4 linked regions of the Pelodiscus sinensis genome follow. The protein of the gene in region 1 purifies or fractionates together with the protein of each later gene. This does not show direct contact. Links are inferred from orthologs where the notes say so. Each region holds a gene or a part of one and is shown in the gene's direction. Other genes may lie near its edges.

Evidence for each region.
Region 2: the proteins of EIF4A3 (region 1) and SRSF3 purify together in Homo sapiens (affinity purification with mass spectrometry; 3 studies listed by BioGRID and IntAct, with this or other methods). This does not show direct contact. The link is inferred for Pelodiscus sinensis from reciprocal best matches to the Homo sapiens genes EIF4A3 and SRSF3.
Region 3: the proteins of EIF4A3 (region 1) and NCBP1 purify together in Homo sapiens (co-immunoprecipitation; 3 studies listed by BioGRID and IntAct, with this or other methods). This does not show direct contact. The link is inferred for Pelodiscus sinensis from reciprocal best matches to the Homo sapiens genes EIF4A3 and NCBP1.
Region 4: the proteins of EIF4A3 (region 1) and UPF1 purify together in Homo sapiens (co-immunoprecipitation; 8 studies listed by BioGRID and IntAct, with this or other methods). This does not show direct contact. The link is inferred for Pelodiscus sinensis from reciprocal best matches to the Homo sapiens genes EIF4A3 and UPF1.

Annotation. Positions count from the first base shown.
Region 1 is NC_134713.1:198,331,116-198,338,091, reverse strand, and holds the start of EIF4A3 (eukaryotic initiation factor 4A-III), read left to right. Parts: upstream 1-3,972; 5' UTR 3,973-4,024; coding exon 4,025-4,178; intron 4,179-6,976. UniProt on the Homo sapiens protein: ATP-dependent RNA helicase. Involved in pre-mRNA splicing as component of the spliceosome. Core component of the splicing-dependent multiprotein exon junction complex (EJC) deposited at splice junctions on mRNAs.
Region 2 is NC_134737.1:17,176,090-17,183,493, reverse strand, and holds the start of SRSF3 (serine/arginine-rich splicing factor 3), read left to right. Parts: upstream 1-4,392; coding exon 4,393-4,598; intron 4,599-6,106; coding exon 6,107-6,241; intron 6,242-7,404. UniProt on the Homo sapiens protein: Splicing factor, which binds the consensus motif 5'-C[ACU][AU]C[ACU][AC]C-3' within pre-mRNA and promotes specific exons inclusion during alternative splicing.
Region 3 is NC_134716.1:345,938-353,140, reverse strand, and holds the start of NCBP1 (nuclear cap-binding protein subunit 1), read left to right. Parts: upstream 1-4,295; coding exon 4,296-4,329; intron 4,330-7,200; coding exon 7,201-7,203. Other genes in the region: TSTD2 (thiosulfate sulfurtransferase/rhodanese-like domain-containing protein 2), read right to left, coding at 4,054-4,297. UniProt on the Homo sapiens protein: Component of the cap-binding complex (CBC), which binds cotranscriptionally to the 5'-cap of pre-mRNAs and is involved in various processes such as pre-mRNA splicing, translation regulation, nonsense-mediated mRNA decay, RNA-mediated gene silencing (RNAi) by microRNAs (miRNAs) and mRNA export.
Region 4 is NC_134729.1:19,442,281-19,449,912, reverse strand, and holds the start of UPF1 (regulator of nonsense transcripts 1), read left to right. Parts: upstream 1-4,620; 5' UTR 4,621-4,921; coding exon 4,922-5,122; intron 5,123-5,144; exon of another isoform or gene 5,145-5,826; intron 5,827-5,885; exon of another isoform or gene 5,886-5,947; intron 5,948-7,632. UniProt on the Homo sapiens protein: RNA-dependent helicase required for nonsense-mediated decay (NMD) of aberrant mRNAs containing premature stop codons and modulates the expression level of normal mRNAs.

The DNA of each region.
Region 1 (6,976 bases):
ATATGTTCTGAAATGGGATTTGTCCTTTTCATATTTGTTCATTTTTTTTAATTGTATCCTTTGATATATATGGTTGTGACTATTTTCTTCCACTATTTGATCTGAGGAAGTGGGTCTGGCCCACGAAAGCTCATCATCTAATAAACCATCTTGTTAGTCTTTAAAGTGCTACATAGTCCTGTATTTTGTCACTGCCTTGAGGCACCGTTCCCTGAAAGTGAAGCACTTGGGTGGCTGCCCAGGAGAGATTAAAATGCCCCCCAGCCAATTAACAGCGTGCCCCCAGCTGGCAGCAGGTATTCCTACTGGTGGTGCACATCTGCACGTGCCTTGGTGCACAGAACAAAATGTATTCTGCACACAGAGGGAAAACAGAGGGAACAGCGTCTTGACGCCCTTTGTTTGGAGGAAGGGGACGAGTGAAGGAGCAGTCTGGGCGGCATTTCCTGAGTGGGTGCACAGGAAAAGGGACAATGACACATGGGTCAGCATTATACGTGCAGCAAAGAATGTTTGGTCTCGGTATCTGTGCACGTTGCACCTCTTGTTCAGGGGCATCAAGGCAGAACCCGGTCTCAGTTAGAACTAAAAGAGGATCAGAGAGGGGCTCCCTCGCCCCAGCAGGATCTCCAGGGAATCGAGAGGGGGGCGTGGCAGGGCTGTCCAGGTTCCAAGTACAAATCAAAGACTGTGGTTTCCATTTCTGTTTTCAGCAGCGTCTTACTCACTTTATTCTCCAAGTAGCCTCACAGGAATCTGATCATTCACAGAGAGAACGATTACTCAAGGTGTGTAAGGGTAGCACAATCCAGGCCTTAAGAAGCTCTACACTCACGCTAAAGAAAACCAAATTAGCTGCAGGAATAAAGGAAACTCGCCTAGTTCTGCAGCTTCAGCCCCAACAGACAAGTAGAAGTGCCTGCCTTTCACGCTAGATGTGACAAGAGGGTAGCCAGCTTACACAAGATATTCACAATCAGCTGTGTACACTTCTCTGTAAAAAGCGCTGGACACTACCCAGCACACAAGCCCTACGGTCTGAACCTGCAGTGGGCTCCACGTGTGTGTGGACTCCTAATGAAAAGAAACCAAATGGACACTGGCTGATGTGATTTGTTCCAATAAATCAAGTCTTGGCCCTACCAACTTTGAAAGCTCCAGAATTCTACTGGCCTGCAGTCCTTCATATGGACTGTTCTACACACAACCCCTCCCTTCCCTTGTTCTACAGAGGCAACAGCCACTCTGGAGTTTGAAGTGCGAAGGAGCCAACGTTGTGCCAATGGGAGCGGCTCAGCGATGAGGCTACAAAGAAAATCAGTGCAAAATAGTCCAGTTGAAGAAATAAAGGGGAAAAAATGAAGCTGACAAATGCAAGGCAATGTAGAGTCCCTCCACCTTAGTGAGGTGACCCTCTGGCAGCAAGTGCCGTCAGACATACCCCCCCCCCCCCCAACCGGCATCACACCCACAAGGTGGGCTCCATTGGGCCAAGTTCATTTGTGCACTTTGCTATGTACTAGAGCCACACGCTCCAACTCTCCAGAGTCCCATCTGCACTGGGAGAAGGGGCCCTGGATACCAGTTCTCAGCTATTACGGACTCTCTGTAAATTTACAGACGGTTGGCAACCCTGGTACTGGGTCCTGCTGTGAGGGCGGGGACTGGACTGGATGAGTGTCCGTGATTCTATGTGACACATGACTTCAGTCAGTGTTAGAAATGGCTTAGGAGGGGCCAGATGGGACAAAATCATTCTCAGCGCAGTTACCAAAAGACTTGGACAGTTAAGCCACTTTTATTTCTGACTGGGGGGCACCTGCTGCTTATTTCATGTATCAGCGTCCTAGTGTAGATGGGTGCAGCACACCTTGCGGAACAGTGTTGGAACTGGAACACAAGCCACCTTTGGCCTTGCAGACAGTTCACAAATGACTGGAACGGACAAGCAGTCTCAGCTCTGGATCATTTCCTTTCACCCCCCGCTCATTACAGCTTGGCACTGCCAGGCAGGTCCTGGCTATCTGAGCACCCTTCGGCTGCGGCAAGGCCTAGGGAGAAAGGCAGAAGCAGCAGCATCGCAGCTCCGGAAGGAATGCGAGGGACCAGCAGAGAGCTAGACACAAACGAGCCAAGCAACTGTACTAAGCATGGCCAGACCTAGACACTATCACAGGCCCAGCGATGTTCCACAGACGCACAACCCACCCCAGAGAAACCCAGTTATCACGGGGAGAAAACCCAGCACCTCCCCTGGGGCGGCCGGCGCGGGCCCAGCACCCCGCACCCCCCCCCGCCCCCGGGGCGGCCGGCGCAGGCCCAGCACCCCGCACCTCCCCCCCGCCCCTGGGGCGGCCGGCGCAGGCCCAGCACCCCGCACCCCCCCACCCCCCGGGGCGGCCGGCGCAGGCCCAGCACCCCGCACCCCCCGGGGCGGGCCCAGCACCCCGCACCCCCCCACCCCCCGGGGCCGCCGGCGCGGGCCCAGCCCCCCGCAGCCCCCCAGCCCCCGGGGCGGGCCCAGCACCCCCCGCACCCCCCGGGGCAGGCCCAGCACCCCGCACCCCCCCACCCCCCGGGGCGGGCCCAGCACCCCGCACCCCCCCAGCCACCGGGGCCGCCGGCGCCGGCCCAGCCCCCCGCAGCCCCCCAGCCCCCGGGGCGGGTCCAGCAACCCCCGCACCCCCCCACCCCCCGGGGCGGCCGGCGCGGGCCCAGCACCCCCCCCCAGCCCCCGGGGCGGGCCCAGCACCCCGCACCCCCCCCAGCCCCCGGGGCGGGCCCAGCACCTCCCCCGGGGCGGCCGGCGCGGGCCCAGCACCCCGCACCCCCCCGGGGCGGGCCCAGCCCCCCACACCCCCCCCACCCCCCGGGGCGGCCGGCGCGGGCCCAGCACCCCCCCCACCCCCCGGGGCGGCCCAGCGCCCCGCACCCCCCGGGCCGGCCGGCGCGGGCCCAGCACCCCCCCCAACCCCCGGGGCGGGCCCAGCCCCCCGCACCCCCCCACCCCCCGGGGCGGGCCCAGCCCCCCGCACCCCCCCACCCCCCGGGGCCGGCCCAGCACCCCGCACCCCCCCAGCCCCCGGGGCCGGCCCAGCACCCCCCCCAGCCCCCGGGGCCGGCCCAGCACCCCCCCCCAGCCCCCGGGGCCGGCCCAGCACCCCGCACCCCCCGGGGCCGGCCCAGCACCCCGCACCCCCCGGGGCCGGCCCAGCACCCCGCACCCCCCGGGGCCGGCCCAGCACCCCCCGGGCCGGCCCAGCACCCCGCACCCCCCCACCCCCCGGGGCCGGCCCAGCACCCCGCACCCCCCCACCCCCCGGGCCGGCCCAGCCCCCCGCACCCCCCGGGCCGGCCCAGCACCCCCCCCAGCCCCCGGGGCCGGCCCAGCACCCCGCACCCCCCGGGGCCGGCCCAGCACCCCGCACCCCCCCAGCCCCCGGGGCCGGCCCAGCACCCCGCACCCCCCGGGCCGGCCCAGCACCCCGCACCCCCCCCACCCCCCGGGCCGGCCCAGCACCCCGCACCCCCCGGGGCCGGCCCAGCCCCCCGCACCCCGCGCAGGAAGCTGGAGGTGGAGCGGCCCCCCCGTGCCGGTGTCACACACCCGGGACAGACCTCAGCCGCGCGTGCCGGGCCCGTCCGCCTCAGCGCCCCTCCCCGTGGCGCCGGGACTCGCCTCCTGCCGGGCCCGCTCTGCTGCCTTTGTGCGCCCGGCCGGCCCCGAGCAGCCTGGGGGGGCGGGGCGGGGGGCGTAGCCCCTGGGGCCGCAGCGGGACCCGCCCCCCATGTGAATTGACGGGGCCAGGCCCCCCCGGGAGCGCTGGTGGTGACACGTGGGCACACGCCCCGCCCCTTGCCCCGCCCCGCGGCGGCCTCTGCTCTCCGCGCCCCGCCCCCGGCTCGTCCTAGGGCGGGAGGAGGAGCCAGCGCCTGGGGGCGGGGCCAGCTCCGCAGCGAGGCTCGCCTTCCCCGTCACGCGGCGCAGGCGCGCGGCAGAGGCTGGGCGCGAGGCGGAGCGGCCATGTCGGGCGCGGCGGGCGCGGCCCGCAAGCGGCTGCTGAAGGAGGAGGACATGACCAAGGTGGAGTTCGAGACGAGCGAGGAGGTGGACGTGACCCCCACCTTCGACACCATGGGGCTGCGCGAGGACCTGCTGCGCGGCATCTACGCCTACGGTGCGCGCCGGCCTCGCGGGAGGGGGAGGGGCCGGGCCTCGCGCGGGCTCCCCTCGCCGCGGCCGTTGCCCCGCGGGCCGCGCCTGCGCAGCGCTTCGCTCGCCGCGCGCCGAGCAGCCCTCGGGCCGGGGGGGAGGGGCGGTGGTTATTGGCCGGTTTTGAACTGGCCCTGGGCTGCCCCGGAAGGGGCGGGGCCTCAGGCGGAAGGGGCGGGGGCCAGGACACTTCTGTGCTCCCCTGATTGGCCTGGGGGTGCGTGAGCTGCCTCCCCCCCCCAACTGCCGGCTGTTCTGAAGGGCGGGGGGGAGGAGACTTGGCGCTGCCCCCAGGGGAGGGAGAGCAGGAAGGGCCTGGCTCCCCCCCCGCCCTGCACGGGGCACCCGGGACTAAGTGCGGAGCCCTCACTGGCCTGGGGCGCCCGCAGTCTCCCCCCGCCCCCCCCGCCCCTCAGGGCGTGCTCCCTCTGCCCCCAAGCCCTCACTGGCCTGGGGCGCCCGCAGTCTCCCCCCGCCCCCCCCCCACCACTCAGGGCGTGCTCCCTCTGCCCCCAAGCCCTCACTGGCCTGGGGCGCCCGCAGTCTCCCCCCGCCCCCCCCCCACCACTCAGGGCGTGCTCCCTCTGCCCCCAAGCCCTCACTGGCCTGGGGCGCCCGCAGTCTCCCCCCGCCCCCCCCCCACCACTCAGGGCGTGCTCCCTCTGCCCCCAAGCCCTCACTGGCCTGGGGCGCCCGCAGTCTCCCCCCGCCCCCCCCGCCCCTCAGGGCGTGCTCCCTCTGCCCCCAAGCCCTCACTGGCCTGGGGCGCCCGCAGTCTCCCCCCGCCCCCCCCCACCACTCAGGGCGTGCTCCCTCTGCCCCCAAGCCCTCATTGGCCTGGGGCGCCCGCAGTCTCCCCCCGCCCCCCCCGCCCCTCAGGGCGTGCTCCCTCTGCCCCCAAGCCCTCATTGGCCTGGGGCGCCCGCAGTCTCCCCCCGCCCCCCCCCCACCACTCAGGGCGTGCTCCCTCTGCCCCCAAGCCCTCACTGGCCTGGGGCGCCCGCAGTCTCCCCCCGCCCCCCCCGCCCCTCAGGGCGTGCTCCCTCTGCCCCCAAGCCCTCACTGGCCTGGGGCGCCCGCAGTCTCCCCCCGCCCCCCCCGCCCCTCAGGGCGTGCTCCCTCTGCCCCCAAGCCCTCACTGGCCTGGGGCGCCCGCAGTCTCCCCCCGCCCCCCCCGCCCCTCAGGGCGTGCTCCCTCTGCCTCCAAGCCCTCACTGGCCTGGGGCGCCCGCAGTCTCCCCCCGCCCCCCCCCACCACTCAGGGCGTGCTCCCTCTGCCCCCAAGCCCTCACTGGCCTGGGGCGCCCGCAGTCTCCCCCCGCCCCCCCCCCACCACTCAGGGCGTGCTCCCTCTGCCCCCAAGCCCTCACTGGCCTGGGGCGCCCGCAGTCTCCCCCCGCCCCCCCCCCACCACTCAGGGCGTGCTCCCTCTGCCCCCAAGCCCTCACTGGCCTGGGGCGCCCGCAGTCTCCCCCCGCCCCCCCCCACCACTCAGGGCGTGCTCCCTCTGCCCCCAAGCCCTCACTGGCCTGGGGCGCCCGCAGTCTCCCCCCGCCCCCCCCCACCACTCAGGGCGTGCTCCCTCTGCCCCCAAGCCCTCACTGGCCTGGGGCGCCCGCAGTCTCCCCCCGCCCCCCCCCACCACTCAGGGCGTGCTCCCTCTGCCCCCAAGCCCTCACTGGCCTGGGGCGCCCGCAGTCTCCCCCCGCCCCCCCCCACCACTCAGGGCGTGCTCCCTCTGCCCCCAAGCCCTCACTGGCCTGGGGCGCCCGCAGTCTCCCCCCGCCCCCCCCCGCCCCTCAGGGCGTGCTCCCTCTGCCCCCAAGCCCTCACTGGCCTGGGGCGCCCGCAGTCTCCCCCCGCCCCCCCCCACCACTCAGGGCGTGCTCCCTCTGCCCCCAAGCCCTCATTGGCCTGGGGCGCCCGCAGTCTCCCCCCGCCCCCCCCGCCCCTCAGGGCGTGCTCCCTCTGCCCCCAAGCCCTCATTGGCCTGGGGCGCCCGCAGTCTCCCCCCGCCCCCCCCCCACCACTCAGGGCGTGCTCCCTCTGCCCCCAAGCCCTCACTGGCCTGGGGCGCCCGCAGTCTCCCCCCGCCCCCCCCGCCCCTCAGGGCGTGCTCCCTCTGCCCCCAAGCCCTCACTGGCCTGGGGCGCCCGCAGTCTCCCCCCGCCCCCCCCCGCCCCTCAGGGCGTGCTCCCTCTGCCCCCAAGCCCTCACTGGCCTGGGGCGCCCGCAGTCTCCCCCCGCCCCCCCCGCCCCTCAGGGCGTGCTCCCTCTGCCTCCAAGCCCTCACTGGCCTGGGGCGCCCGCAGTCTCCCCCCGCCCCCCCCCACCACTCAGGGCGTGCTCCCTCTGCCCCCAAGCCCTCACTGGCCTGGGGCGCCCGCAGTCTCCCCCCGCCCCCCCCCACCACTCAGGGCGTGCTCCCTCTGCCCCCAAGCCCTCACTGGCCTGGGGCGCCCGCAGTCTCCCCCCGCCCCCCCCCCACCACTCAGGGCGTGCTCCCTCTGCCCCCAAGCCCTCACTGGCCTGGGGCGCCCGCAGTCTCCCCCCGCCCCCCCCCGCCCCTCAGGGCGTGCTCCCTCTGCCCCCAAGCCCTCACTGGCCTGGGGCGCCCGCAGTCTCCCCCCGCCCCCCCCCCCCGCCCCTCAGGGCGTGCTCCCTCTGCCCCCAAGCCCTCACTGGCCTGGGGCGCCCGCAGTCTCCCCCCGCCCCCCCCCACCACTCAGGGCGTGCTCCCTCTGCCCCCAAGCCCTCACTGGC
Region 2 (7,404 bases), on another chromosome or scaffold:
CTGGTCTAGTGCGGAGATCGTGGACCTCATCCACGACCTCCGCACTAGGCACAGGAAAGTGGCCGTCTAGGGCAGGAGAACTGCCAGCCTGGCCACCCAGGAGCAGGTGTGCATGAAAATCAGGGTGGTCCAGTGAGACCCCCGACCCTGAGCTTACAATGGCCGTACTGGGACAGACCAAAGGTCCATCTAGCCCAGTAGCCTGTCTGTCGACAGCGACCAACACTAGGGACTCTGGAGGGGATGGACCGAAGACAATGACCAAGCCATTTGTCTCGTGCCATCCATCTCCAGCCTTCCAAAACAGAGGCCAGGGACACCATTTCTACCCCCTGGCTAATAGCACTCCATGGACCCAACCTCCATTACTTTATCTAACTTCTCTTTAAACTCTGTTCTAGTTCTAGCCTTCACAACCTCCTGCAGCAAGGAGTTCCACAGGTTGACTATTTGCTTTGTGAAGAAGAACTTTCTGTTATTAGTTTGAAGCCTGCTACCCATTCATTTCATTTGGTGTTCTCTAGTCCTTCTATTATGGGAACTAATGAAGAACTTTTCTTTATGCACCCTCTCCACACCACTCGTGCTTTTATAGACCTCTATCATATGCCCCCTCAGTCTCCCCTTTTCTAAACTGAAAAGTCCCAGTCTCTTTAGCCTCTCTTCATATGGGACCTGTTCCAAACCCCTAATCATTTAGGTTGCCCTCCCCTCTCCCAGCCTCTCTCTTCCCCTCTCCCACCTCCTTTTCCCAGTCTCCCCGAGTTTTGTTCAATAAAGAGAGTTTCTATTTTTGAATACATGTGTCCTTTATTTTGTACATCAGGAAGGGGGGCTAGGGAGGGGTAAGTGGAAGGAGGTGAGGGAGGTACGAGCCCCCAATGGGGAGGACTGGGGTGGCTCTGCAGGCTCCTCGGGGTGGAAGCTCTCCTGCAGCCCCCCCGGCTGACCCCTCCCCGGATGGCAACCTGCAGCAAGTGCAGCCGGGCTGATGGCCGAGTGCTGTGATGTGCCCAGTGTGGGCACTCAGGGCACTCCAAGCCAGGACTGCTTTGCAAGCGGGGAACCCCTGAGAACTGTCTGTCCGGGATGGAGGTCGGGTCCCTTTAAGCACAGCCCTTGGCTAGCCTGAGACAGCAGCTCCACGCTCTAAGTCAGTGGTCTCCAACATTTTTATACCCAAGATCACTTTTTAAATGACAGACCAAGCCAAGATCTACCGCCCCGTCCCTTCCTTGAAGCCCCGTTCTCTCTAGTCTCCTCCTCTCCATCACTTGCTATCCCCAATCCTTATACTGCTGCTTATTTTTTTTTATTATTATTACTATTCTAAAGGAAGAAGTTTTTCCAACATTTGGCCTGTCTACACTGGACCAAATGTCAGAAAAAAAACCCTTCTTTTGGAAGCCACCTTATTCCTTGGGGAAAGAGGAATATAGGGGTGACCAAAAGAGCCTGTTTGCTCTTCCACTAAAAAAGCGGAAGAACAAACGCAACCCTGGATGCAGAAGAGTTTTTCTGAGATATCTCCAGAATCCTGAAAAACTCCTGCAGTCTAGCCGGACCCCCGCTGGGTTGAGACAGGACGTGCAGTCTCTGCGGTGGGAATGAGGGATTTGGGTGTGGGAAGGGGTGAGAGGTACAAGCTCTGGGAGGAAATCTGGATGCAGGAGGAGGTGGAGAAGGGGACACTGGCTCGGGGAGGGGGCTCCAGGCTGGGCAGTGTTGGGATACTAAGCAAGCCACAGGCTTGTGGATGTGAATTTGGGTTGGGGTATGTGAGGGGCTGAGGGCATGAGGTTCCAGTGTTTGATAGGCTCAGATCTAGGGTCTGGGGAAGGGGGAGTGCAGGAGTGGTTGTGGCCAGATGGGGGTTTGGCCCCAATTGAGGGTTTGTTGGCCAGGCTTCATTTTTAAATAGAATACTATGTTAAACACAAAGGCTGTGTCTACACTGGGACACTTATTCCGGAAAATCAGCTGCTTTTCCGGAATAAGCTGCGAGTTGTCTACACTGGCCCTTGAATTTCCGGAAAAGCAACGACGCTCTACTGTACAAAATCAGCCGCTATTCTGGAAAAACTATTCTGCTCCTGCTCGGGCATAAGTCCTTATTCCGGAACACTGTTCTGGAAAAGGGCCAGTGTAGACAGCCCAGTAGTCTTTTCCAGAAAAAAGCCCCGATCGCAAAATGGCGATCGGGGCTCTTTTCCGGAAAAGCGCATCTACATTGGCCACAGACGCTTTTCCGGAAAAGGGGCTTTTCCGGAAAAGCAGCCTGCCAATGTAGACGCTCCTTTTCCGGAAAAACTGAAAACGGAATAGTATTCCGTCTTAAGCAGTTCCGGAAATTCATGCCAGTGTAGACACAGCCAAAAAGTTTCTGCATTGTCTTTATTTATGAGAATGGCAGGGAACCTGCCTTGAGTCAGGGGTCACTGACCCATAGAAAAGTCATTTGGGAGCAGGGGACACAGTACTGGGGAGGGGTGCTAGTGGGTTGTGGGACAGGGAACAGGGTGCCAGTGGGGGTAGGGGAGAGGGGGCAGGGTGCCAGGACAGGTTTCTGCAGCAGGGGACAGGGTGCTGGGGGGTCACTTCGCAGTACAGCTGTCTCCCATATTTGCTGCCCACCTACAGTCATTGCAGAATATAGTTATCCCTCCTATCAGACCCCTCCCTTTCCATGAAGCAAAATACAGGACTAGGTGGCACTTCAAAGACTAACAAGATGGTTTATTAGGCGATGAGCTTTCGTGGGCCAGACCCACTTCCTCAGATCGATATATGGAAGAAAACAGACACAACCATATATACCAAAGGATACAATTAAAAAAATGAACACACATGAAAAGGACAAATCACATTGCAGAACAGGAGGGGGATGGGGGGGGTGTGAGCTAATGGTGTTAGAGGTGATAACTGGGGAGGCTCGTTGTAATGGGTGAGATAATTAGCGTCTTTGTTGAGACCCCGGCGTAGTGTCACATTTTAGCATGAATGAGTCACGGGCTCTGAAAGCTGCACTTGGAGGGGATCCCCCGATCGTTTTAACTGTGCCCGTTGGTGTGTCCGTGACTGTTTGATCCGGGGAAGCGGGTCCGGCCACGGGAGCTCCTCCCCCAATGAACCATCCCGTGAGTCCGGCCCCGCCCCGCCCGGCTGCCCCAGGCCGCTCCCTGCCCGCGCTCCGGACACCGCCCCTCGCAGGGCTGTTCCCGGCCCGACCCGCGAGTCCGGCCCCCGCCCCCCGCGGCTCCCGCCAGGCCCGTCCCGCGGCAGCGACGAGCCTTTAGCGCCGCCCTCGCGGCCCGGCACCGGCCCCAGGCAGCGGCGAGCGCGGCGCTTCCCGCGGGCCCTGGGGCGCCCCGGGACGGGCCTGGCGCGGGAAGGCCAATCAGGCAGCGAGGGGGCGGGTCCGTGACCTGTCACTCCCGTGCGAGGCGCGCTCTGATTTGACGGTGGCTGGCGACGGGAGGGGGCGGAGGGGCTATATAAGGCCGGGCGGGGGAGGCGGCTGCCGCCATTTTGTCCAGTCAGGAGAAGCGGAGCGGGAGCCTGCTCGGGACCGAGTCGGCTGCGGCGTAGCGCGTGCTCCCTTCTCGCAGCCCCGTCCGCCCCGGGAATCGGTGAGGGCCGAGCCGGGGCTCAGGGCGGGGCCCGGCTGCGCGCGGGGAGGGGCGCCGGGCGGCCTCAGGCGCCGGACAAAGAGCCGCCGCCATTTTGTGCGGTGGGGCCCGGGCGCGGCCGCCCAGCCCGCAGGCGGCGGGGGCCCTGGGGGGCAGCGAGGCCCTGGCGATGGGGCGCGGCGAGGCCGGGCCCGGGGGGGGCGCGAGGTTCCCGCGCGGGGCGCGTCCCCCGGAGCCCCCGGCTCATGGCGGGCCCGCGCGCGCGGCGAGTGCCCGGGGGAGGGGCAGGCTGGTGGCTCGCGCCGGCCTAGGCCTGGGGGCGCCTCGTGCGGGGCGGGCCGCAGGGCAGCGCGCGCCGCGCTCCGAACAATGGCGCCCTCGGCGCGCGCGCGGCGCCCCCTGCAGGTCTTGGCTGCCACCGTCCCAGGCCCGCCGGGGAGACGCGGGGGGCGGGGCCGCGGGGCGGGGCGCGCGGGTTAACGCGCGAGCGAAGGGTCCGACTGTCGCTGCGACGCCCCTTACCTCTCGGGTCCGCGCGCCAGCGGGCTGCGGGCATCTGCGCCCCGGCCCTGGGTTTGCAGGTCTCTGGGGTCTCAGGACGCAGCAATGCCGCCTGACGGGGTGAGATGAGGAGAGACTTGCACATCCAGGCCTAGCATCTGCGCGTTTCAGTGCAGGCAGCAGCCTAACCGCCGAGGGAAATACTGCAGTTGTAGGCCGAGGGAATCTGCTTTTTAAACTTACTGGGCTTTCTTTCCTAGTGATGCATCGGGACTCTTGTCCACTGGACTGCAAGGTTTATGTAGGTAACCTTGGAAACAATGGCAACAAAACTGAATTGGAACGAGCTTTTGGCTACTATGGACCACTGCGCAGTGTGTGGGTTGCTAGAAATCCTCCTGGCTTTGCTTTTGTTGAATTTGAAGATCCCCGAGATGCTGCTGATGCAGTAAGAGAACTAGATGGAAGGTAAAATTTGTTAATTAGACTATGCACTTAATTTAATTACAATGATTAAGCAATTTGTATTCACACTTAAATTAACCAAGATCCAGTAATATCATGGCATTGAGATTAACTAGCCATTCAGTTGTTGAATTACTTGCCCACTAATTCAAATTTATAAACCAGAATAACTCTTAATTAAGGTTGCTAACTATGTAAATAGACTTTTTTGTGGTTAATCTCAATATTTGATATTCTTGGTAATTGAAGTCAAATTGAGACCCCTTTGCTGGGTGTAATGTAGGCTGGGATGATTTTTCTATCTATAGTGGCAGTGCCTTAGCAGTAGGTGCATTTACACCAGCAAAGTGTAGTTCTTTTGCTTCTGTACTTTTTCATTTGGGGGATCTGGTATAGGAAATGTTTTGTTGGGATAAGATGTCTCTACGTAAGTGGATTTGCTGGTATGCTGGCAAACACTTTCTAGGATAGACTTGGCCTGAGATTGAAAATTCCAAATACCTGGTAATACATCTAGAAGTACTTTGAGAGCCTCTAGAATTCAGAAGAGTTGGATTCCACCTGTACCTGGTATGTGGAGTATCAGAGATGGACAATAAGTCAACATTTCACAAGGAACTTTTAATTCTTGTGAAACAAAACATGAAATAGTAGTATTCATAAAACGTTTCAGAAGTGTATTTATTACTTCAGTGGAGCTAAGTTTAGTGTCTCTGAACACAGCTTTTTAATTTCGAAGTGGAAGAGATAAGGATAGCTGAATGTTAAATAGCTCTTTTAAAGTGATATTAAAATTTTGTTTTGACTACCAGCTAGATTTAAAGTATTAACCAGCTGAGCAATCTATCCTGATTTTGCTACAACCGAGTATGGGCTTTTCACTAAACTTATTCAACTGTGACTTCCATTAAATTATAGTTGTGATAAATGCTATAATTTCATTTTAGTCACATTTTCTAGTTACTCTCCTTGTAAAATAAATATTCTACATAGAGAGGAGATGCAGGATTTTTCACTCAAATGGTATTGGAGAAGCCAGAGTTCTAGGGTATACTGTAAAATTTATTTTAACCATTAGTCTTGACATAGGACAGCAATGCTGTTAAGGTATAAAGCTGCAGGTGTTCACTAAAATTGAGCTTTGAGTTTCCAGCTTTACATGAGAGAGAAAGCTACATAGTTAATGAAGTTAAATCTACAAAATTCATCCCCAGGAAACGCTTGGGTAGATTCTGTGCTTTCTTGGTGTTAAGTAACTAGACAGGAGAGGCTTGGGTCACTTTGAATCTGACTTCTTTATATTGTGTGCATTTGTTTAGATACATAGGTTCCTTCCATCTCCAACAAGTGTTTGTCTAACCTGCACTTAGTGGAATCTCCATCTGAGATTATCTCCCTAGCAATTTTTCAGTGCTATATGTACACAATGTTTTCTTTTCCAGTGCGTGCCAGTATGTCTTCAGAGCAGACCGATTTATTGCTTAGAGTATTAACTGTAACTTTTTTCCCAGAACTCTCTGCGGGTGCCGAGTCAGGGTGGAGCTGTCCAATGGTGAAAAACGGAGTCGTAACCGTGGTCCGCCGCCATCCTGGGGTAGGCGTCCTCGAGATGATTATCGCAGAAGAAGTCCTCCTCCTCGCCGCAGGTACCCTAGGTCAAAGACAGTGCATAGAGCTGTTGAATTGTTGTCATTTAGCACCATAGAAGCAGGCTTTCTTTAAAGCATGTTCATGGGTAACATCTTAAACATCCTGATCACAATTTGGAGATGCCAGACATTTTATATAAAATCAAGAGAACATAAATTGTATTGAACATTGGCTTTTGTCTGTAAGTCACTGTAAGTTGATAGCCAGCACCCTCTGCCTTGGACTTATCCTTTCTCTTCCTAAAATCTGCACATCTTGTAGTCGCTTTCTTCCCATACATCTACTTAGGTTGTTCCCTTTCTTTTACTCCATAATGACAAACATTACATTCAGCAACTTAACTTTTCCATGCAAATGCATTTCTCCCCTTTAACAATTCAAATATTTGCCTTGAAGGCAGCTGTTTAATTATGTTAAAACAAGTAACAGTTGCATTTAAATGTACAAATCTAATTTAACCCTAGTAAAGAGTTTAAAACCTCTTGTGACAGTATCTGTCATTTGAGTTTTGCAAACCCAAGCCTAAAATATAGCAGGGTTTTTTTGGTAACTACCTACTTTCTTGGATCTGGACTAACGTGTCTGAATGTGTTAGAACTCTGCACGTCTCAGCCTACAACATGGTTCATACAGGACTGAATTTAACTATTGCCAGGTGAGTGAAGTTCTCACAGGATAAGTTTGAAACCATGTCCCTTTTGCTAATAAAAAACCCACAATAGGAGTATGTTAGCTGCTAGATGGTTGTACTGATGGCTTGTTTTTCATTTTTTTATGCTTTTTGGTCCATCTATTAATAAAAATGAACCCGTTACAGAGTCACCATCATGTCTCTTCTCACCACCCTCTGAGTCTGCATTAGCCAGTCAACTAGCCCTTTCAGCGTCATGTGACCAGCGCGCCCCATTCTGCTTGGCTGGTGTCGTTTCACATGACCCAGGCATGGCCAGTCGTCAGGTTGCACCGCCCTTTGGTTCCCGAGCATGCTGTTTTCTCTCAGCCTTCTCTCCAACCTTAACCAAATCGGCAGCAGCCACCTCGACCGCCCACACATTCCCGGCCAATCAGCTCAGCTGTTTATTTACCAAATGTCTTCACAACAACTACAGCAGCAGCCTTCGGCTAACAAAAAAGCAGGAAAAATCCACAACACCCCCTT
Region 3 (7,203 bases), on another chromosome or scaffold:
TAACAAGTCTTTGAACTTTCTCACCCATTACCAAGACAGTTTCCCCAATTATCACCTGTAATACCATTAACTCACAAACATCCCACTCTCCCTACCTTTAATATCAGCAATTCACAGACACTTACCTTCCTTCCTCCCCCTTCCCACCCCCCCGCATCCCCCTTCTGTTCTGCAATGTGATTTGTCCTTTTCATATTTGTTCATTTTTTTAAATTCTATCCTTTGGTGTATATATGGTTGTGACTACTTTCTTCCACTATTTGATCTGAGGAAGTGGGTCTGGCCCACGAAAGCTCATCATCTAATAAACCATCTTGTTAGTCTTTAAAGTGCTATATTGTCCTGCATTTTGCTTCAACTACCCCAGACTAACACGGCTACATTTCTATCACTACTCATGATTTCAAAAATCCTGACCTGTTCATTGGAGAGGGTGACTGATCAGTGTGCTAAATAGTGCATAGCAGGCCATGGATTTTAGGGTGCCCTCTTCTCTCTCCCTTGCCAGGTAGGCAGATTGGAGTGCTACACTCTGTATCGGAGGAAGCATGCCTCATCTCACACCTCCTTCCTGGAAACACTTCACTTCAGGGACAATTTACAATTCACAACCTTTTTACACTAATTTTATGGACAAAATAACACTTATGGACTGCTCACCTTGATAGTGTTACTATTCATACTAATAAACTGGAACCACATACAACTGCCACAAGGAGGGAGAGAGAATGTGTGATATCTGCGCAACACCAAGAACATACATGTACTTGGGTCTCTAGCATCCTGTCACCTTGCTTCTCTTCCAGAGGTTTCTATTAGAGCACACTAGGAATTCAAGTCTTGCTCAGTCTGGGAGGTGTTCTGTACCAGGGGACATACACTTTCCACAGAGCTGGCTAGAAAGGGGAATTTCCATCCTGCAGAAAATACCAACATTCTGAAATTTGTTTGGGAACAAAAAGTCAAGTTTTTGAACCTTTTCACAGCATGGAAATTCCAAAAAAAGTTTGATTCAGAACATTTTGTTTTTATAATGTTGAAACATGTTAGACATATATTTAACGTAGAATATCAAAATGAATGAAATCCAGGAAATCAAAATGAAATATTGGTGCCTTATTGAAACAACATATTTGGACTTCACATCAAGCAATCCAAAATAATCTGACACTTGGCTATTGAAAATGTACCTGTTCCCTCAAAATGGTTTTAGACTAGTGGACCCCAACCTTTTGGGGCTCCCGGGTGCCAGGGGGTGGGGCCATTCATTGTGCCAGGCGCACAGGGGCGGGGCTGCATATGTGCCCGGGGATGGGGCCACCCATACGCCATGCGCCTGGGGTTGGAACAGCCCATGCGCTGCATGCCTGAGGCTGGCGCCGCTCCTGTGCCGCGCGCCCAGGAGCCGGTAGTGCCTATGCACCGCGCGCCTGGGGCCAGCGCTGTTCCTATGCTGCACGCCCAGGGGCGGGGATGCCCGTGTGCTGAGGGCCAGGGGCGGAGATGCCCGTGTGCTGAGGGCCCCGGGGCGGGGATGCCCGTGTGCTGAGGGCCCCGGGGCGGGGATGCCCGTGTGCTGAGGGCCCGGGGCGGGGATGCCCGTGTGCTGAGGGCCCCGGGGCGGGGATGCCCGTGTGCTGAGGGCCAGGGGCGGGGATGCCCGTGTGCTGAGGGCCCCGGGGCGGGGATGCCCGTGTGCTGAGGGCCCGGGGCGGGGATGCCCGTGTGCTGAGGGCCCCGGGGCGGGGATGCCCGTGTGCTGAGGGCCAGGGGCGGGGATGCCCGTGTGCTGAGGGCCCCGGGGCGGGGATGCCCGTGTGCTGAGGGCCCCGGGGCGGGGATGCCCGTGTGCTGAGGGCCCCGGGGCGGGGATGCCCGTGTGCTGAGGGGCAGGGGCGGGGATGCCCGTGTGCTGAGGGGCCAGGGGCGGGGATGCCCGTGCGCTGAGGGCCAGGGGCGGGGATGCCCGTGTGCTGAGGGCCCCGGGGCGGGGATGCCCGTGTGCTGAGGGCCCCGGGGCGGGGATGCCCGTGTGCTGAGGGCCCCGGGGCGGGGATGCCCGTGCGCTGAGGGCCAGGGGCGGGGATGCCCGTGCGCTGAGGGCCCGGGGCGGGGATGCCCGTGCGCTGAGGGCCCCGGGGCGGGGATGCCCGTGCGCTGAGGGCCCCGGGGCGGGGATGCCCGTGTGCTGAGGGCCAGGGGCGGGGATGCCCGTGAGCTGAGGGCCCGGGGCGGGGATGCCCGTGCGCTGAGGGCCCGGGGCGGGGATGCCCGTGTGCTGAGGGCCCGGGGCGGGGATGCCCGTGTGCTGAGGGCCCGGGGGGGGGATGCCCGTGTGCTGAGGGCCCCGGGGGGGGGATGCCCGTGTGCTGAGGGCCCCGGGGGGGGGATGCCCGTGTGCTGAGGGCCAGGGGCGGGGATGCCCATGTGCTGAGGGCCCGGGGGGGGGATGCCCGTGTGCTGAGGGCCCGGGGGGGGGATGCCCGTGCGCTGAGGGCCCCGGGGGGGGGATGCCCGTGTGCTGAGGGCCCGGGGGGGGGATGCCCGTGCGCTGAGGCCCCGGGGGGGGGATGCCCGTGTGCTGAGGGCCCCGGGGCGGGGATGCCCGTGAGCTGAGGGCCCGGGGGGGGGATGCCCGTGCGCTGAGGGCCCTGGGGGGGGGATGCCCGTGTGCTGAGGGCCAGGGGCGGGGATGCCCGTGTGCTGAGGGCCCGGGGGGGGGGATGCCCGTGTGCTGAGGGCCCGGGGGGGGGATGCCCGTGTGCTGAGGGCCCCGGGGCGGGGATGCCCGTGCGCTGAGGGCCCGGGGGGGGGATGCCCGTGCGCTGAGGGCCCGGGGCGGGGATGCCCGTGTGCTGAGGGCCCGGGGCGGGGATGCCCGTGTGCTGAGGGCCCGGGGGGGGGGATGCCCGTGTGCTGAGGGCCCGGGGCGGGGATGCCCGTGTGCTGAGGGCCCGGGGCGGGGATGCCCGTGTGCTGAGGGCCCGGGGCGGGGATGCCCGTGTGCTGAGGGCCCGGGGCGGGGATGCCCGTGTGCTGAGGGCCCGGGGCGGGGATGCCCGTGTGCTGAGGGCCCGGGGCGGGGATGCCCGTGTGCTGAGGGCCAGGGGCGGGGATGCCCGTGTGCTGAGGGCCCGGGGGGGGGGATGCCCGTGTGCTGAGGGCCCGGGGCGGGGATGCCCGTGTGCTGAGGGCCAGGGGCGGGGATGCCCGTGTGCTGAGGGGCCAGGGGCGGGGATGCCCGTGTGCTGAGGGCCCGGGGGGGGGATGCCCGTGTGCTGAGGGCCCGGGGGGGGGGATGCCCGTGTGCTGAGGGCCCGGGCGGGGATGCCCGTGCGCTGAGGGCCCGGGGCGGGGATGCCCGTGTGCTGAGGGCCCGGGGGGGGGATGCCCGTGTGCTGAGGGCCCGGGGGGGGGATGCCCGTGCGCTGAGGGCCCGGGGCGGGGATGCCCGTGTGCTGAGGGCCCGGGCGGGGATGCCCGTGTGCTGAGGGGCAGGGGGGGGGGATGCCCGTGTGCTGAGGGCCCGGGCGGGGATGCCCGTGTGCTGAGGGCCCGGGGCGGGGATGCCCGTGTGCTGAGGGCCCCGGGGCGGGGATGCCCGTGTGCTGAGGGCCCGGGGCGGGGATGCCCGTGCGCTGAGGGCCCCGGGGCGGGGATGCCCGTGTGCTGAGGGCCCCGGGGCGGGGATGCCCGTGTGCTGAGGGCCAGGGGCGGGGATGCCCGTGTGCTGAGGGCCCGGGGCGGGGATGCCCGTGTGCTGAGGGCCCGGGGGGGGGGGATGCCCGTGTGCTGAGGGCCCCGGGGCGGGGATGCCCGTGTGCTGAGGGCCAGGGGCGGGGATGCCCGTGTGCTGAGGGCCCGGGGCGGGGATGCCCGTGTGCTGAGGGCCCCGGGGCGGGGATGCCCGTGTGCTGAGGGCCCGGGCGGGGATGCCCGTGTGCTGAGGGCCCGGGGCGGGGATGCCCGTGTGCTGAGGGCCCGGTGCTCAGACTCGGGCCCACTGGCGGCCCCCGAGCGGGATCGGGCCCTCGCGCAGGCGCCCCAGCTCACCGCGGCTGTGGGAACTTTGCGACGCTCCCTGGCCCGCCCCGGAAGCGATCCCCGCGCTCGCTGGGGCGCGCCGCACGCTAGCGGGGGAGGGGGCGGGGCGCGCCGCTCCCGCCGCCCTTTGCCCCGGAAGCAGCTCGCGGCGGGCAGGAAGCCGGAGCGGAGGGGCCGGCCGGAGGGAAACGCTTCTCGGCGCCGCCGCGGCCTCTGCCCAGCGCCGCTCCCGCCCCGCCCCGCCCGGCAGCATGTCGCGGAGGCGCCACAGCGACGAGAACGATGGTGAGCGCGGGGCGGCGGGAGCTCTCCGCAAGGCGGCGGGGCCGCGCAGCGCGCTCCCGGCGGGCGAGGGGCGCGCGCCTCGGTCCCCATCCCCTGAGGCCGAGCGGCCGTTACGGGCCCCGCGCGCCGCCCGTCGCTTCCCGCCCCCGCCCTTGGCGCACAGGCCGCGCGTGCTGCTCCGGCTCCTCAGACAGCCCCCCCCGCCCGCGCCTGGGATGGGACAAGCCGCCGCGAGTCCGCACGAGCCTTCCCCTCGGTCCCTGCGCGGCTCGGTCACTCGTGTCTGGAGCCACGGCCTCAGCTGTGGGGGAGGGCCCGGGTTGGGGGGTGGGAAAAACCATTTCCCTGGGGGGGGGGAGCGCTGGGCTGGGTTCCCTAGGGAGGCAGTGGAGTCTCCATCCCTAGAGGTGTTTGTCTCGGCTTGACACAGCCCTGGCCGGGCTGATTTAGATGGGGTTGGTCCTGCCTAGAGCCGGGGGCTGGACTTGACCTTCTGAGGTCTCTGCCGGCTCTGGGGTTCTGTGATTCTATGTCTTCAGAGCCTCCTCGGGCTGGTTACGTGCCGGGGTCTGGGCACCGCATTTCAAGAAAGATGTGGAGAAATGGGAGAGGGTGCAGAGAAGAGCAACAAGAATGATGAAAGCTCTAGAGAACATGAGCTATGAGGGAAGGCTGAAAGAACTGGGCTTGTTTAGTTTGGAAAAGAGAAGATTGAGGGGGGACATGATAGCCGTTTTCAGGTGTCTAAAAGGGTGTCACAAGGAGGAGGGAGAAAACTTGTTCATCTTGGTCTCAGAGGATAGAACAAGCAGCAATGGGCTTAAACTGCAGCAAGGGAGGTTGAGGTTGGACATTAGGAAAAACTTCCTGCCTGTCAGGGTAGTTAAACACTGGAATAAATTGCCCAGGGAGGTTGTGGAATCCCCATCTCTGGAGATATGTAAGAGTAGGTTAGATAAATGTCTATCAGGGATGGTCTAGACAGTATTTGGTCTTGGCAGGGGACTGGACTCAATGACTTCTTGAGTTCCCTTCCAGTCCTAGTATTCTTTGATTATACCCCTTTAGTGCTGTATGCCTGCAGCCCAGACCAGCTCTGTGAAGACCTGGTGTTACCCTTCACTGACAAGGAACGCGCATTTAGGAAGGCTTTCCAAGCTGCAGGGGTTTGCTCCCACTTCTGTTCTACATGCAGCTACTAGGCAAACCTGTGAGATGCCTGGATTCAAGTACCAGATGAGTCAGCTGTATGCAGTGAAGAACAGGTAGAGCCATGCTACTATCACCAAGGTAGCCCAGTGCTTTGACATCAGCTGATATGTGAACAGCTTTCTGAAGCTGAACTCAGGCAAGACTTGAGAGCAGTCAAGTTGGGGAATTTGCAGTCCCAGGGCAGTCAGCTTTTGTTAAAAGTCCTCAACTGATCACGTCAGTCTGCAGATCAGCAATGCTCTTGGGTTCCTTGCTAGCACACCAATACTGATGTGATATAGCTGGACATAAAACCATCAATCTGCCTAATGCAGACCACTGCAACAAAGGCTACTGGGAGCACGCTGAATTGTTCTGAACTCTACATTGACTTTTTAGAGAGTATTACATCAAGGTCTCCATTTTTATCTTGAAGGTGCTTAATGATCTGTGCCCAACATGTCTAAAAGATCAGCTAAAATTCTGACATGAGGACTAGTCGACAGCTTCACTCCCTTAACACAATAGAATGTACTATCATAAGGGAAAGTTCATCTCTGCAGGTGGCAGGCTTTCTCAATGGCCAGTTCCAGGCTGGTCACCAAACTCCCTAGGGAACAAAGCACCAACACAAACTTCACCACCTTTGCATCAGCTTCAAGGGGCACTATTTCCACCTTGCCTTCTCCACCATCTGTACAGCAGGGTGCAGCTTTACTAAAACAAAGGATAATTCATGTACAGCTTTTCCTCTGGGAGATGGTGAAAAAATGAACCACATGTGATAGCTGTCAGTCATGTCACTTAGTGCCTTGGTGATGACAGTATGATAACATATATGTATATAAGAGATGCACCTTTGAGGGTATATATAGTTCATTTGATGCAATTCTAAGATAGAAAATCTACTCTTTTACGGCCAACATTTTCAGCTCTGACCTTCAAAGATAAATTCAGTCATTTAGAATTCAACTACATCTGCTCTTAAAAGGTCTTTATCGCTTGTTTGCCTAGTCTTTTTTCCAAAATACAAAATCTTTACAGGTTGAATCTCTCTAGTCCAGCACTCTTGGGACCTGACTGGTGCTGAACCAGAGAATTTGCTGAATCACAAGAGGTCAGTATTGTCTAGCAGAATTACCAACACTGCCACGGCTAACTAAAATCATGCCGGACTACGGATATTGCTGGACTAGAGAGATTCAACCTGTGAGTAAAAGGCTACCTGAACCTCCTTGCTCAGGCATTTTCTCATGTTATCTTTGGTGCCAGATAATCCCATGTGCTACTTCAGATGAGCTGTACCTAAGTACTACTAATTCTATAATGTGTGTGTAACTTGCATTATCAGTGGTACGCACGTAGTATCTTGCTACTTTAGCAGAAATGCACTTCCAAAAACATCTTTCAAATAAGAAAGTAAAAAGGATTTGATTAGCGGTGAACAAAATCCTAGAGAGTACAAGGCTACAGAAACTGAGTATGTTTTAATTACTCTTAGCTTTGTTTTTCATGTTTTGTTGGGTCTGTTTAAAATAAACACTTGAGTATCTTTTTGGTCCTTTTTATTATTGTACAGAACTGGCACATGGGCTGAGGCTGACAGAATTGTTCAAAAACATTTTTAAAGCTGTTGAGTTACTAACTGGCATTCTTGGTTTTATTACTGTATTGAAACAGGAG
Region 4 (7,632 bases), on another chromosome or scaffold:
GACTCCTCTCAGGCTTGGCTTGCTGGACTGAACCCGGAAATCCTAATGTGCAAAGGTCCCCACTTTATACATGTCAGTTCCAACTGGAGTCTGTGGGTTTTGCAGTGTCCTGCTGCAATTGTCCATACTTAAGAGGTGTCAATCTGTGTTTTCCAGAATTATACTTTGATGGTGATTGTCAAACTTCCCATCTTTGTCTCTCACTCGTGGGGATCTCTGCCTATCTCCACGATTCTCTCAATGCTGCTAATTCAATTCAGCCTCAGTCAGAATGGTGGTTTCCTGGGTATCTTCAAGATTTCCACTTCTTCTTGATCACCTGGGCATCTGTGATGACTGTCATGCTGACACACTTCCTCCATTCACACCAAACAATTGTGCGGAGTTTCAGACAAGATTAATAGTAACTAAAGGGACAGCAAAAAGAAAGGAATCTTCCACAACTTTTGTCATGCAGACAAGGAGTACAACTTAATTTGTAATGCTAACAGGACACAAGGCCTTACAGTAAACATCATCTAATCATGAGAAACTGGGTGAAATAGAAGCATACAGAACTTATAAGCAAGTCATTATACATCAAATCATTATGCATCATACTCATAGTTTTATAACCAGGGCTCGCTGAACCGCGGTGAGCCCCACTCGCCAGCTGCGCTGTCCGGCGATCTGCGCATGCACAGATCGTTCTATGCATGCGCAGATCGCCCAAACCCGGCTCTTCCCGGTTGCAATCTACTGCTTATAACCAATACTACAATATACATTTTTGCTATACTGTCATAGCGCACAAAACAGAAAGTACTTTAAAAGTCCTAGGTCATAGAAACCTGACGGTGTCATTTTAACACCTTTCTCCCTGGAAGATTAGAAATAGTGAGGTTATTAAAAAATCAAAAAGTCTGGTAGCACTTTAAAGACTAACAAAACATGTAGATGGTATCATGAGCTTTCGTGGGCACAGCCCACTTCTTCAGATGACTAGAGTGTTGGATGTCCAGAACCAAAAATAAATAAATAGAGAAGAAGGGAGCGGGACAGGGGGAGAGGAAAAAAATGGGAGGGGAGGAACAAAAAGAGGCAGTGAGTATAAAAATATCAAAGGGAAATCCGAGCTAGTATGTAACAGGCAAAACTGATAGTATATAAACACGTACCTAAAGACTGGATAGTTAAAAGAAGCAGATAAAAACCATTAGCTAACAATTAGAGAGGAAGAGTACTAACACCAGGTGAACTTACCTTTGAGACTTGAAGGACTCTAGTCCTGATTTTATATTTACACACAAGGGACTTCTCTTAATGACTGTGGGCTAAAAACACATCACTACTACCCCTCATTATTAAAAAAGACAGTGGCACAGCCGTGTGAAGGGATACTAGATAGCTCAAAGTCAAAACAAGCAAGTCCTTTTCCAGCTAAAGAATGGACTCAATAGAATCCTACATCTATAGACAGGCCAGCCCTTTGGAATCATAATGGCTTGATAAAACCGATCAAAGATTGTTTTAGCCTCAAACAGCTGAATTTGTTGCATCAGGAAATATATATATTTGTGATTTACAGACCTGGAAAACCATTCAACCAAATAGGAGAGAAGATCAAGAACTGCCCCAGCACAATACAAATGTCATTGGGCTAAGTCAAATGATTCTGGATGTCGACAGTTTAAACGGAAACCTACAGTGCATCCTGCTTCCTCACAGAAGCGTAGAAACTGAGGGTACGTCTAGACTACAGGCTTTTGTCGACAGAGGCTTTAACAGACACTGTCGACAAAGCCTCTGTCAACAAAGAGCATTTAGTCTACAGACAGTTCTGTCGACAAAGCAAGCCACTTTTTCGACAGAGTCCAAACGCTCTCTTTTGAAAAAGCACAGTGGGGATGCAACAGCACCTTTTGTCGACAGAACTCTGTCGACAAAAGGCGTTATTCCTCACAGAATGAGGTTTACCGCCGTCGACACAACTGCCGCGTTTTGTCAACTTACTGTCAACAGAACAAGTATAGTTTTGTTGACAAAAGTTCACTTTTGTCAACAAAACCCTGTAGTCTAGACACACCCTAAAGGTGAAAACAAACAAGCCATGTACGGGAAATAATAGCCCTTCCAACCACTCTAATTGCTTTTCTATGTTGGAGTAATGCATGATATTTCAAAGAGAAGGATGTTTCAAAGAGAGAGAAGGAGCAATTGGCCAAATTCCATCAACGCAAATATTTTATCAAAATCTGATGGACACTGGCAAACCTGGTCCATCTGTTTTCTTCTCCTACACTGGCAATGGGCAACTGAGGCTAGTGAGTGGGCCACATGAGTGGTCCTCCTTCATCTCAGTGGGCTCCAAGATTATCGTCACAAAGATGATCTCCCAAGATAGGGTAGTTTTGCTAACTGTGCTTGCATACCTAGAACTTGTACGGTGTGCCATTTGAACTGTAGCAGCAGTTAGGATGCAGAGGGAGCACACGGCTCTCCCAATGTTGTGGATAATAAGCACGCACCTCACTTCACATGCCCTTGCTTTATGTGCATTTCACTTTGGTAATACAGGTCGAACCTCTCAAATCTGGCAGGACTATGGATGCTACTGGACCAAAGAGCCCCCGAGGCCGGAGAGCGAGCCAGCCAGGAGTCCGCCAGCAGCTGGGGAGCCCCAGGTGAGCTGGCAGCAGATGGGCCAGTGGCGGCTGGCAAGCCCTGGCCCTGACAAGCCCCAGCCAGACTGACAGCAGTGGGGGTGGCAGCAGGGCAGAGAGCCCCATAGCCCAGAGGAGAGCCCAGGAGCAGGGTCGGCGCCAAGCAGGGGAGAGTTGACCTCCCTGGTCCAGAAAACTACCTGGTTCAGGATCGCTCAGGTCCCCAGGATGCTGGACCAGGGAGGTCCAACCTGTACCAGTAGAAAAAAAAAACCCTATGCGGATGGAAACCAGTGGGATCTGGCAACCCAGTGTATGGGCAAAGGTAAACAAAATGTCTCACAGGCCACCCCTAGAACCCTGATCGGCCAGAAGTTGCTCATCACTGTCTTACACTGAAACTACAAACATAGAGGTTAGATATAGAAGGAAACATATGTTCACTTTCCATAGCCATGAATACAAGTTTCAGGGTTGTGGGGAGGGAAGAGAAAAGGTTTAATGTGCTTGACATGCCTGTTTTGCCACAACTAACCTTAGAAAAATTCTGAATTTTGTGCTGGTAAAAATTGATGGGAACCCTAGAAATCAAAATCTTCTGTTTGTTTATCTCACCTACACCATAATTCTAATGTGCCTCAGTCTTACGTGGAAGGCCCTTTTTTAATGATGAGTAAAGATTTCAGTCTCCACAGTACATTTGATTATTAGCCTCCCCGTCCAGGCACAACTGTTAGCAATCAATCAATATAAATTAATAATAATAATAATAATACTTAACACTTCTCTATCACCTTCTGTCTGTCTCATGGTGTTTTAAAACATTAGTTAATACTCACACCTTTCTGTGATATGCATATTTCTATTCCTGGCAAAGGGAAACTGAGGCAGTGAGCTGGAAAATGAACCAAGTGTCCTACTTCCCACACTCTTGTTTAGCATCTACATCACACACGCTCTGATCTGGGAATGGAACCAGAGTCCTGGCCCCAAGTACCCCACTTTCACTACATCACAAATTGCACATGTGGCTTTTGAGATGTAAACAAGCATTCCCTAAAGATTGGCTTGAGACCCACCAAACTCATTTCAAATGGAGGCAACCATTGTGAATCCAGTGTTGGCCCGGAGTGACTGCGTAGCGACACAGAGACATGACATGCAGTCACTCTGGGCCCATGGTGGATTCAAAACAGTGACAGGAAGGTGAAAAGTCCCTTCCATGAACCAGAGGCAGCAGAGATTTCTGCTTGCTTTCTTCGCTGATAACACAGAACTTCCTCTCTCTTGGGGGAGAGAAGACAGCTATAGACCTTCCTCACCAACAGTGTGTGTGTGTGGGGGGGGGGGGGCGAGCTTGAGACCGGCACCCACCTACATGGAGGAAATTAAAGACCTCTCTCTCCCCACCAAGAGGGGAAGTTAGAGACTTTCACCTGTTTGTGTGGGAGACCTCCCACTCCCACCTATGGGGGAACTGGAGACCTCCCCCTCACTACTCATGGGGAGCAGTTAAGCGAGCGATCTCTCCCTCCCCCCCACCCCATGGGGTAGAGGCAGACTTCCCCTCCCCACATATGGGGGGCAGTGGTAGTCCTCCCCCTACCTCCCTGGGTGGCAGTGAAAGACCCCCCCCACACACACACACGTGTGCAATGGCAGATCTCCCCTCCCCTCCCCACCCCCACACCTGGGGGCCGTTGGAGACCTCCCTCCACTCCCCATGGGGGCAGTGCCCCCCCCATGTGGGGGCAGAGACCGCCCCTACCACTCCCTGTGGGGGGAGGGGGGGAGAGGACAACTGGCGGCCCCTCCCCTCACGGGAGCCTATGGTTACCTCCCACCTAGGACCCCGCCCCCGGGCCTTCCCTCCGCGCCCCCCCCCCCCCCCCCACCTGCCGCCGGGCATGCGTGCGTGCGTGCCTACGTCACGGCCCCACGCGTCCTGAGCGCGCGCCGCGTCCCCCCCCTCCTCCCTCCCCGTGCGTTCCGCGTCACCCCTGCTCCCTGGCCTGCCTGGCGCGCGGCGGTTCCCGGCCGGCCTGCTCCGCTCCCAGCGCCTCGGGCTTCGGCACCGCGGCGGACCCTCGCCCCCGCTTGATTCGGCTGCGTCCGGCCGCCCGGCCCGAAGAGGAGGGGCGGGGGGGGGAAGAGGGGCGGTTGCTTCGTTGGCGCCCGACGCGCCGCGCGGCCTGGTGCGCGCGGCCCATCCCGGCGCTCGCGTAGCGCGGTTGCCCGGCCGCCGTGAGGCGAGGCCCCGCCGGCCCCTCGCCGCCGCCATGAGCGTGGAGGCCTACGGCCCCAGCTCGCAGACGCTCACCTTCCTGGACACCGAGGAGGCCGAGCTGCTCGGCGCCGACACCCAGGGCTCCGAGTTCGAGTTCACCGACTTCACCCTCCCCAGCCAGACCCAGACCCCGCCCGGGCACGGCGGGCAGGGGCCGCCGGGGCAGGGGCCGCCCGGACAGATCGAGGCACAGGTGGGTCCGCGCTGGGGGGGGGGGGGATTCCCCTGAGGGAAGCCGCAGCAGCGCCCCGCGTGGGCAGGTGGCGTTCAGAGACCCCCCCCACACACACACTCAGCACGGGGGGGGGGGTTACTCTCTGCCTTCGCCTTAGCCCGGCACGTGCTGCCAGTGTAGGGGGGTGGGGGGCAGGGCTGGACCCGGTGCCCCTTCCTCTCTGAGAACACATGGCCGGGGGGGGGGGGGGCTGTAGAAGTGTCAGATTTCAGGGTTGCATCATGAGGAATGTGACTTCCTTCCGTGTTGTGGGTAGGAGCTGGCTTGAACCCCCCCCCCCCCCCCGTCTGCCTTTTGCTGCCTGTGGGGAACAGCACAATCCGCTGGCATGCCCCCCCCCCCCTTTCCAATTGGGCAACTTAGTTGTGATCAAATTCTGAAACACGTTGCATGGGGCTAATTCGTGTGGTGGTTTTTCCCTCTTCCTTGTTATCCATCTTTTCCCGTTGCATTGTGTGTGGTGGCTGGCACGTGTGTCCTATTCCTGTGAACCCCATTTGGGATTGAAGGTTGGAGACGATTAAAATGTAATAGACAATATTTTAAGGGAAATGTGGTAGCATTTGATATACCACTGAGCAATAGCCTTGTATAGTCCCTTCATATTAAAAAAGAAGGGAAACCAGGATTTTCTTGGAATAGTGAGTGTAAGAAAAGAGGAAGTTAAAAAAGAAGGGAAACCAGGATTCACTTGGAATAGTGAGTGTAAGAAAAGAGGAAGTTAAAAAAGAAGGGAAACCAGGATTTTCTTGGAATAGCGAGTGTAAGAAAAGAGGAAGTTAAGATGCATATACACGATGAAATATCATAAATGAAGGTAACCTGCATTTAAGCTTTATGACTCTGTGTGGCAGAAAATTTACATTGCTGTTTTTAAAGACATCTAAGCTTCATAGTTGCTATAATATTTAAAAAGATCACAGAATGTGTCAACTAGTCAACTGCATGGACAAGCAAATGCTGATATAATCCCAGTACCAACAATAGTTTGTAAACTATCTACTGATTAAAATGCAAATTAAAAGGTGAATTGAAGTGCTACTAAGTTTAAGATCCCAGTTCAAGAATATCGTGTGTGCTTTCATTTCTCCATTTACTTATGAAGACTTGTATTCAGAGTTCTGTCCTCTCCAAAAGTTGATAGCTGCATAAAGACAGAATCAGGGATGCAATTACCTGAGCTGTTCGTAATGTTGTCTATTGTAAGAGAGAGACAGACTCCTGAGCTCAAGTCTGGCAGTAGAAAGGATTCTTGGTTCATCTTCATTGGTCTCTTTACTTGGTGCACTCTGATATCAACCTCAGTAAAAACTAGGGATGTGAAAGGTTAACCAATAAGCATCCCACTTGATGCTTAGCAGTTCTGGTTAACTAGTGGGGAGTGGAGCAGCTCACTGCCCCTCCCTCCCCCCAGCAGGGGCTGCTTAAGTGGGCTTGGGCCCATCGCAGGCAGAGGCTGTTCTGGCCACCCACCGCAGCCCCTGCCCATGATGAGCTCTGCTTGCAGTGGGGAGGCTGCTCCAGCGGGATTGGGCTAAAACGTGCCCCCCATCCTCTCTTTAATCAGTTACGTTCCTAGTGAAAACTCATGTTGCATATGCCTAGACAGAGGACTTATTTAAAATAGAAGCTTAACAAATAAGAGGGGAAACGTTGCCATCTGATCCACATGCTGGAGAGAGCCATACTAACAACATGTATAGACCTCCTGAAAGTCTTTGGCAATCTTAGCACCCTAAGACTCCTGTCTGTAGATTAATATCAAATACAATTTCCTTTAAATATGTGGTCTGAAAGGAAAACAAATATAGAAGTTAAAAACTATGTACAGTGTATTTAGAGCTTTTATAATAATAAAATCTATTGCTATCCTGTGGGAAAAAAATTGGTTTTATATCTCTATCAAACTGCTGAAACAATTTCTTTCAGAAACTTTTGCAAGTTGTCATATTCTTCTTGATACTCCTGTTGCCTCCTTGTTTCACAACCTGATTTTCTTTAGATGTTTAGATAATGTTCCTTTTGAACCGCAGTATAGCAAGAACTATAGATTTCCTTAGTTTTCCTAACCTTGTTACATAGCTGTCTAGTCTTGTACATTTTAGCAGACTCATCTTGGGTTTTGGGGAACATTTTGCTGCCTTAAAAAGCTACATAAATTTGTACTCTGCAAGAGAAGTAACTAAAAATAAAACTTTTTACAAGGCCTGACAGATGATCACCTTTAAGTATTATTTCCATACCATTAAATCCAGTTTAATCTTTTATTTTTAAATGTATGCACATTGTTTATTTGCTATGGATTAATGTTCAGATGTCTCAAATTCCTAGATGTTATGAGGAGAGAGTTAGATATGGTTCTTTTGCCTGCTCTTCTAACAAAGTGTAAGCAATTGATTCTTCTCTATATCAGAGCTTTTTTCCGCTAATGTACATTAAACCAGGAACTTAAGTGTTTGTCAGAATCA